Linked DNA regions of Drosophila melanogaster. The protein of the gene in region 2 purifies or fractionates together with the protein of the main gene of each other region. This does not show direct contact. Each region holds a gene or a part of one and is shown on either strand. Other genes may lie near its edges.

Region 1 (5,551 bases), on a different chromosome or scaffold from region 2:
CCCGGTTCAGGTCGAAATGATCAAATCGCATTCCTGAATTCTCCACACACTATCGGTTTTGGGTTCTCGATTCTCAAGGTAACCCGATGCTGGCCAATTCCCGTGACAGGAAAGAAGGCACGTAATCTTGTTCAGGGTTGTTGGAAATCGAAATATGGCACTTTTCTACCTGACTACATTCGACATTTGCGTATATTATTCGAATAGTCGTTTTTTTTCCCCCGATTTCGTCACAGTGCATTAATCAGCATTGTGTTACCCTTTGTTATATTGTTAAGGTGCAAATTTCAAATCCATATTTCTCCATGTATAAATATATATTTAAATTGCTCAATTCCCAGCTGAGTCTGCCAATAGGTTGAGTGTTATTTTATATCAAAGGGCATTCAATATAAAACAATTCAAAACGTATCTGGGCATTTATATATTTAAAAACTGCGTTTATTTATGAGGTTTATATAAAGAAACAGTTTAAGAATAGAAAAATGTAATAAACTTCTGTTACCATGCCGACCATTTGGCACTCATTTAACCACTGTGCCTCTAAAATCAAGGACTCTCGATGGCTGAGCTAAATTTTTTGCACATTTGCGGGTTTCTTGCGCACAATGGTCAAAGGGGCGCGAATCAAACGGGGGCCTTGACTTTTGCACTTTTGGCGAATTTTTTTTACAGCAGGACATACAGCAAATCGGACGGAGGATAAAACAAGAACCAAAAAGAAAGATACAAGGCACAAATACCGAAAGACAAGTAACTCACCACGACGGGGGGTGTCGCCGGAGGTGAAGGTGGATAAACAGGAATTTCTGCCTGTTCTGTTTTGATTTTTCGCTATCTCTCTCTTTCGCTCAGCTGCTTCTGCTTCTTCGGTTTGTTTATGTGTAATCCTTTTGTTTCTTTCGATTTTGGCGCGCAATTTTCCTTTTTTTTATTGCTATTGTTTTAGTTGTTGCTAATTACTAATTTGCAATGCAATTTTTCAAAACACGCGAAGCCGTTTTGTTGTGGCCGTTGTTATTGTTGCGTTGGCCGTGTGATTGCGGTTATAGTTGTCGTTGCGTTGTTGTTGGTTGTTGCTAGTTGCTGTTGTTGCTTTTGCAACTTTTTCACAATTTGCATTTCACGTATTTTTGCAGCAGCTTCGACGACTTTGACTTTGTTGCACAAACACAGGCGGAAAAACGGCCACACACTAACGAACTGAAAACAACAAAACAATCCGAGGAAGCTGCTGGCGTCTCTTTTCCTTCGATTTTTTCCCAAGATTGCCAATCCGATTTTACTGCCTGATTTAGTGTACTTTCGCGAATCTATAGTTATTTCCGCAGCCAGTCATTCAAAAACGAAAATGTAAACGAAACAGTGGGTTTACATTAATATATCATCACATAAATATGGGTTTTTTTGAATCCCAAAAGCATCTCGTGTTACTTAGCGCGACAAATCGGTTTCCGACGTATACTCGTTCGCTGAGATGTTATTCCACAGTGGTATTTAATTTGTTTTTACTCTTCATGCGAGGAAAGCACCGTACGCGCACGCTGCTCAAAACGGAATGAAAACAAGAGCTGTCGCATCGTTTCAGCCGAAAAATACCGAAGCATGCTGAAACTTCGAAAAATACCGCAAGCGAGAAACGATGTTTTTTCATCTATGGCAAGTCGACGTCTATTACCCTTTCGATTAATAGAAATAAAATATTGCATATTTATTGAAGTAACGAAGTTTGTTGCATCCCAGAGTTTTGTTAAGGCATAAATAAAGTTCCATAAGCAATTTAAAGACTATTTAATTAAATTGATTTCTAATTGGCATATGAACGAACATTTATTGGTCGTCCAGTTTAGAGTACATATTTATGTACAAATCGAAGTAAATTTTTTATAATATTAACGCACGGTTTATCAATGGCACAAACCATCAGCGATTCCCAAGCCATCCATTTTTAGCTATGTTATAGCTATAGAAAAAGCAATCACAAGCAAAATTAAAGATAATAAACAATATTAAATTTAAATGGCCTGAGAACAGTGGAATGCATTTTTATGACAGGCTTTCGAACTCCGTACATAAAGTACATTTACCGTACCGACCCAACAAAGAAGTGGCGCCGATAAGCACAATATTTAAAAACCGATAGGCACACGTTATTTGACTTTTTGTCTGCAAAAGCTTTCTCGTTTTAAGGAGCTTTGATTTTGGCATCACCTGCAACAAAAGCGGTTTTCAGTTTAGTTAGCCTCTTTCTCACAAACAAGTCGGTTGTTTTTGCGCTGTTGGAGGAGTGAAATTCTTAGCCGCGCTATTGTTTTTGTTGTTTGCGTGGCGTTGTGTTTATAACAATAACAACAAGTGATTATCACTGGAAGACATGTTCTGTTCAAGTAGCTAAGCATATGGCTGGCTAAGAAAAAAAACACAAGGGTTATAACCCTTTTTTGGCCGAAATACGAGACTGTCCTCCGGGGTTACTTCATTCGGTCTGTTATTTTGGCCACCTCCCAGTTCCTTCAAAATGGTTCGGTGGAGCGCGCGGTCGCGGCGCCAAGCTCGCCAGGATAAAGTGGAGCTATTGGCCAGAAACAACAAAGTGAATGGCGAGGACGATACCTCCGATAACGGTACGTGCCAGGGGTGTCCTCAAAAGGAGAATTTTAAGCGAAGTTCATACGAAATTCCAAACTATCATTTTATTGTTGTTTCTTTTTCCTTTAAGGCTCTGTTAATAAAGTTTTAATTTTGAAGATTTCAGTTGTTTAAATAGTTAAAAGATTTACAAACTAAATATTTCAATTCATATTCAAAAAGTGAAACGAGACAAGAGTTATGTTGCATTTCAGTAAGCCTGCTTGAAGTAAATATAATGATTTGTACTCATAGCTAAGAATAATCTGAAACCTGTTTGAAGATATGCGGTCTTTAAATGTATTTACAATAAATCGATAACAAAGAATATGATTATAAAACGAAAAATCAGATGCATGTATATCTAAATATTTCCCTCTAGAATTCCATCATTGTATGAATTGTATGAATTGAAAAGGGTAGCATTAAGCTGCCAAAACGAATGTCATTTCATCTGTTTCCGATTGTCATTTAACGACTGCGATTAATCTAAAACACTTTCGCTCCGTTTTAGCCGCCTTTCGCAACTCGACTGACCTATCCGACCACGATGAGATCTTCCTCAAGGGATTGCTGCGTAGTAACTCCAACACGCCCCACAAGGAACTGATGGCAAGTAGACCAGAACATATAAACGTAAAAAGGCGAGAGAAAATATCTCTGTACAATTTCTGACCCACTTAAACGCCTTCGAGCATCTGCTCAATAAGAAAATTGCGCATACGGTTTTCCACCCATTTTCCATACCCAGCCACACACACGCACACACTTTCCACATTTGTGTTTACTTCATCGATGGCATTGCATGCTGATTTTTCGGTCTAGATAGAATTTTCCGGGCTGCTTGTATGTGCGTGTGTTTGCTTTTCTTATTACATCATTTTCCTTGCCTCCACAAGCGCCAAAAAGAAAAGAAAATCCTTCTGTATTTTAAAAGATTTTCTCGCTTTAGCCATGCACTGCAATTGTTTTTTTTTTTTTTTTTGACTTCGTAATGGCCCATTAGCACTTGCTATTTTATTTTTGCCTTCCTCTTTTGAGTTTTCGCACTAAACTTGACCTCTATTGCCTCGGCAGATGAGTTGCCTTTATGCAGATGGGAGGCATTTTATTAGATCATCGTGACATAACCATTGAAGTGGAAATTATCTTGACCCGACACATTTAGCGCCTCCTCGAAGGTTTCTTACGGTAAAAGAACTGCCAAAAAGTTTGTAGCCTAATCAAATTGTAAATATTATTTGCTGTTCCTGCGGCAAACACGCAGGTCAACTAGAAAAACAATGAGAGGCAGTTACAACCAAAATTAAAACGAATTTGTTGTGCTCTGTATACAAGAAAAATAACAAAATATTTTAATTAATTTTTAAAAATTAATTTTCAAAATTGAAGATGCCCTTTCTAAGATGTAAAGTTATTCTGTTGGCGAATAATAAAGAAGTGGGGAATTAAATAGTATGTAAAAAATAGGCGTAAAACAATGATTATTAAGACCCAAACTAGCAGTACGGAAAAGCCAAATACAACAAATATTATGGAAAGCGACATCGTGTGACGACGACCATAATTAGAATCCAACATTTTCCGAGGCATTTTCCTGGGCAGGCTCATTCGTTTGTGGTTTTCTGCTGTGGTCGGCGGCTGTTGAGAAAGGCAGTGAAAGTAATTAAGCCACGAGTCACGAGATAAGAAAATATGAAATGTCACTACCAGCTCCCCTGTTTTCCTTTCCCCAACTCGCCTGTCGTCACCGCTCCTTGGAACACTCCCCCATTTTATGCAGATTACATAAAACTCGACGCAAGTCGCCGTGCCAACTCTTTGACATCAACGCCCCAAAGAAGTTGTGTGTATTTGAGTGTGAATAAGGAAACCGGTTTGGAAACATTTTCCAACGTAAACACTACGCTTTTTATGCTACCTGCGCTCGAAAACGATGCACAAAAAGCGCCCAGCTCGTTGGCCTACTAATGCAGCTGTGGTCGGGAGATCGAAAAAGCTTGCTATAAGATGCTGTTAAGATCACTGAAGTAGTTGGTAAAAACATTGCAAAGCATGTTATAGCCAAACTTACTTATTTAAGGTTCTGTTTTACTGAACAAAGTATAAAGCTAGTTAAATAAATATGTTTCAGCAACATTTGAATTATAATATTTGGAAAGCTAAGATCAGATTATTTAATTTCAGTATAACATTTAACAGAACATTTTAATGTTGGTTATTGTTATATTTTAGATATACCCCAAGTATGTACATATTTGTATTTTAAAAAGTTTTCTACAGTTTCAAATGGTTTTCATTAACAGAAAGAGAGGGCGCGTCACTGCTGGTTTTAAGTCACTGTTAAGTACAAGCTAACATGTGGATAACAGACTGCGTACAGTTGTAACTTGGCTCACGCGGAGCTTTTTTCACGGCAAGCCAGCGGCAAGCGAACTGAGCAGCAAACAAAGCTAGCCCTAACTTGCTCACTAGCTCTCGCCGCTTGCTTCCATAGCTCGTGAGTCAGTTAGTTGCGAACAGTGCTAAGGTGAGGTTCACATTCCGGTTTGAAACGCGCGCTTCGTTGGTTTCGGCCCATTCGAATGAGTGAGCATTGGTGCCTGACTGTAGTATAGGTGTTTTCACGGTGGTGTTTGTGAGCGTGGCTTAAACGGGCGGCTTGAAACCGAAAAGCAACAGTTAGTTGGTGCTCTCTCTGCCCTCTCTCTTTCGAATTCAACAATGTTCATAAACCATTTTCCGTGTGAAAATTAATAAGCCCACTTCAGGTGCTAATTACGAATCGATCAATATTATTGTAAAAACGGAAAAACGAAAAACTGGAACAGTTATTAGTGTGTTGTGCTAGTGCCTTGGTAACCCCGCTGCATAAAGCTTTTCCGAGCTTGAATTGATGACGTAGTCGCCGAGAACTGTTTTG
Region 2 (4,011 bases):
TCTGACCTATCAAGTATGAAACAATATAAAAAGAAATTGATTATCTTTTTAGAAACGCCGACCACCAGCTTTCTTCCAAAATTTGAACAATACTCTTCAGACAATGATGGACTGCTTTAAAATGGGCAACCTTCAAACTTCAGACATAAAAATATTGTCTTCAATTCAAAGTCGACTAAGGCTTTATTCCCTGGAGACATCGGATCTTATTCATCAGTATTACTTGGAGCGTCTAGAAAACCAAAAGAGCCAAGAGTCATCTCCATATGGACAACTTACCATCACGGCTCAGTTAACTGATACCGGCTTATTGGTAGGACTTCAATCATTTGAAACATAAAATCCGCTTAATGAGTTAAATATCTTATAGTTAAATATCTTAAATGCTCGCAATCTGCTGCCAATGGATTCAAATGGTTCGGTGGACTCATTTGTTAAGGCCAGTTTCATGCCCACAAGTCGATTCAACGACGTACCCACTGTGAAGACCAACGTGCACAACAAAAGTTGTTTTCCGCTTTACGATCAGGAGTTTCGTATGTAAGTAGTTACTTTTTAATTTATGCATCCATATATAAATATACCTTCATTCGGCAGAAACTTGAGTGACCACCAGCGAAGTGAAAAGAATAGTCTTATTGTATTTAGCATCAAAGATAAAGATTTATTCGGCATGTCGAGCCAGTATATAGCAGAGAGCTATATATCTTTCGCAGATCTGGAAGCGACACCACCGGGCGAGCAAATAATGATGAATCTATCCAGACCAGAGTATACAGGTACCTAATCATACTTTTGGCAGATTAAAACTGGAAACTTATACATGTTATGTGCTTTCAGATTCCGAATCACTGCGTGCCTTGGAATACAGACTAGGTGATAAGCAGGCCAAGGATTTCCTTAAAAAGCTGAAGAACCGATCCTTCTCCTAAATTGTGAAAAGTTATACGTTGTAAAGAAAAGCAATAAAACTGTATTTTTATATTTTCTACGGCAATCGTACTAAAATTTACAAAGTTGCGTTTTGAAATGGGCCCCATTTATGGACTGAAACTTATGAAGAAAAGATTTGCATTGTCTGACAGTTTTAATTACATTTATTGGAACAAAAACCAACGCGGTAATTAGTTACAAATACATAACACTCACTTTTTACGATTAAAGAGTAATTTTCCAGAGTTTCTTTGTAATAAATAATATATAAATGGTATTTGTGTTAAATTATATTATTCGTAAAGGGCTTGATACGTGCATATCAGCATGGTCTAATGGCAAAAACTACTATGGCACAAGTTTTTGCCGATGTGCCTTATTGGCGACGACGTGTGTTGCGTTGCTTATCAAATCGCATTTCCATTTCCTCGAGAACCTTTGGTGTGTAGCGTACCACCAGCTTTACAGATCCGACAGCTTGCTTTAATAGCTCTACGGCCTTCTCGTGGTTTTCTCCTTCGACAGACTGAAATATTGATATTTTGCAAGTTCTTAAGGAGTTAAGGTACATAACTGAATTAATGACTTACCACACCATTCACAGACAAAAGTTGATCTCCCCTTTTCAGACCACCATGCCTGTCAGCCACGCCTCCAGGTATTATTCGGGATATATAGATGGGCGAGTTTTGCTCCTTGCCCCCCATTACATTGAAACCCAAGCCTGAAAAACAAAAATTAAAGATTGATAAAGCTTTCCATATAAGATGTATAATAGAAACATATATTCTCGGTCTATAGACCTTTACAATCAAGGTATTGGTTTTATGATATAGGGGAATCCCCTCGATTCTTAGCTCATAGGGGCGTGTCTTACCCTCCTCCGTTTTCGGGAGCTCGACGACTCTGGGATGAGCGTGCCCCTCGCTGGCTGCGAAGGCTGCCACAGTGGCCTTGGCAGTGGCGGATGCCCTCACGTCGTGGGAGCCCTGGATGTCCACCGTCTCGTAGACGTGCTCGTACACCTCCCGCACGGAGGTCATGAAGTCCGAGTTGAGCACCTTCTGCAGGGCGGCCAGTTTTGTCGTGGGGAAGTCGCCACTCGCTTGCAGCTTTTCCAAGAGCTCTATCGATCTTTTGACATCTGAAAGTTAGAGCATTGGGTGTGAGTTTCCTCCAACTGGGAATGGTTAGCATGCACCCTTACCTCTGGACAAAGTCAGTGGTTCTGCGTTATCGGCCATATTGCTGTTCAATTTAATAATAATCAGTCAAATTGAGCTGACCTGAAATATTATTCGAGCAGCTGAAAATAATATGACCATACGTCTCAGGGGCACAAAATACCATTCCGTGAAATTATATTCTCTATTTGAAATAATTTGGTTTAATAAAATAGTAACAAAAGTTATATTTTTTATATTTAACAATATATCATATACTTATAATCTAATCTCAGTACTTTTCGTTTAAAAAATTATCTTTTGAAACAAACAAGTTTCTTGAAAGTGTGGTATTTTATGCACGTACATCCATGGTCATATTATTTTATATTGATATTATTTCCGCACCGTATTTATTTAAACTAACAATAGAATAATAGCAAAATGAGCCTGCCAGCTGCACTATTGCAGCGCCTGAAGAAGCGCGGACTTGTGACCAAACAGTCGGGTAAATACAAAGACCAGTATAGAATCCAAAAAGAGGATAACCAACTTCAGCTTTCCACAGGAGCAGCACCGATTTCAGAAGCTATAGAAGAGATTATAGCCGAGAACTACGATGACGATGACAAGAGCGGCCCTTACCCGTACAAGGAGGACACATCGCCGGAGCCCAAGCGCAGGAGCGTCGAGGAGAAGTTCTGGTCGCACCGCATCAAGGAGCGGATCGGCGTGAACGAGTCCTACCATGGCTACAAGCTGTGTCCCAACAAATACAACATATACCACAAGTGCTCGCTGTACTGCGTAAACAAGTTCAACAGCTCGCCGCTTTCGCAGCCCAGCCATAGGTATCTCAAGCGCTACAAGAGATTGCTGCGGAAGTATCCACTGGAGGCGGGCTGGAAGGATGTCTACGATAAGGGCTGCAAGGCGTTTTACTTCTATAACTCGACCACACAGACTGTTTCGTGGCTACCTCCTTCGCATCCCAAAGCACGGATCACCAACAGCGCCGCAGTGTTTCGCAGACAACTGGCCAACTCCAACGATGAGTTCAACTTCGATACCAACATGGTTCAGCCCAAGTCTTCTAACCAAAATGAACCCGACGAGCCCGACGTATTCGTTCCCGCCAAGAAGCAAAAGTCCAGGGACCTGGAACGAAAAATCCAACGACGTCGCCGTAATGATAACTAGCACTACTAACTAGCCATTTGACTTATGAGCTGTAGATCGCTACTGTTCAAATAAAAATGAATAACTATGATAGATATTAAGGTTTAAAAATGTACACTCTGCTTTATTGAATTGCTAGCTTAAGACAATGAATGGTGGAGCCGCGAACAGATTTAAATCGAAGGAACCGGAAATTTTACGAAAGCAGCAACTCGATAAAATTGTGTCGCACGAGTCGGGAAGTATGTGAAAGTTGAATTTGAGGCGGCGATTAAAGCCCTCAACATGAGGATGCGGTGGACACACTTTCACCAAACTATGTGCTATGTGTAAAGTGTTTTAACCAAGTTATATATATTGGTGAAAGATCAATACAATTATTTTTTTTTTGGGTTTATTTCAAGGTTCGTTTTCCCTTAACAACAACCGGTCGGTTTCGTATGTAGCCCTTGCGACGCTTAGAGTTCTGCAAAGAATCAGATTGTTAATGAAGTTCATTGGGAGCTGCAGGGTACACTACCTTTCTCGAAATGAAGTTTGCTGGAGGAATCGTTCTCTCCTTGGTCTTCAGTGATGGTCTATTGAACTCATGCGGCTTCTTCACCCTATAGATGCGAACAAGCCAGTGTTCTGTGGTGTAGGCCTCCTCCAGGTAGGTCAGATCGAAGTCCTTATTCCCAATGACGGCGTTACGTGTGCGATCATATCCAGATGGACCTCTGAAACAGGCAGTTAG

What was found. The genes of interacting proteins can lie anywhere in the genome.
Region 1: the proteins of veli (region 2) and vari purify together in Drosophila melanogaster (affinity purification with western blotting, with the first as the bait; one study listed by BioGRID). This does not show direct contact.

Annotation. Positions count from the first base shown.
Region 1 is NT_033779.5:20,793,726-20,799,276, reverse strand, and holds the start of vari (varicose), read left to right. Parts: upstream 1-2,234; 5' UTR 2,235-2,518; coding exon 2,519-2,624; intron 2,625-3,142; coding exon 3,143-3,240; intron 3,241-4,021; exon of another isoform or gene 4,022-4,269; intron 4,270-4,338; exon of another isoform or gene 4,339-4,471; intron 4,472-5,130; exon of another isoform or gene 5,131-5,217; intron 5,218-5,551.
Region 2 is NT_033777.3:25,063,338-25,067,348, forward strand, and holds veli (veli), read right to left. Parts: upstream 2,255-4,011; 5' UTR 2,178-2,254; coding exon 2,141-2,177; intron 2,078-2,140; coding exon 1,524-2,077; intron 1,460-1,523; coding exon 1,310-1,459; 3' UTR 1,081-1,309; downstream 1-1,080. Other genes in the region: stac (staccato), read left to right, coding at 53-313, 371-540, 598-779, 841-932; PQBP1 (Poly-glutamine tract binding protein 1), read left to right, coding at 2,541-2,604, 2,665-3,296; Stt3B (catalytic subunit 3B of the oligosaccharyltransferase complex), read right to left, coding at 3,670-3,741, 3,796-3,994.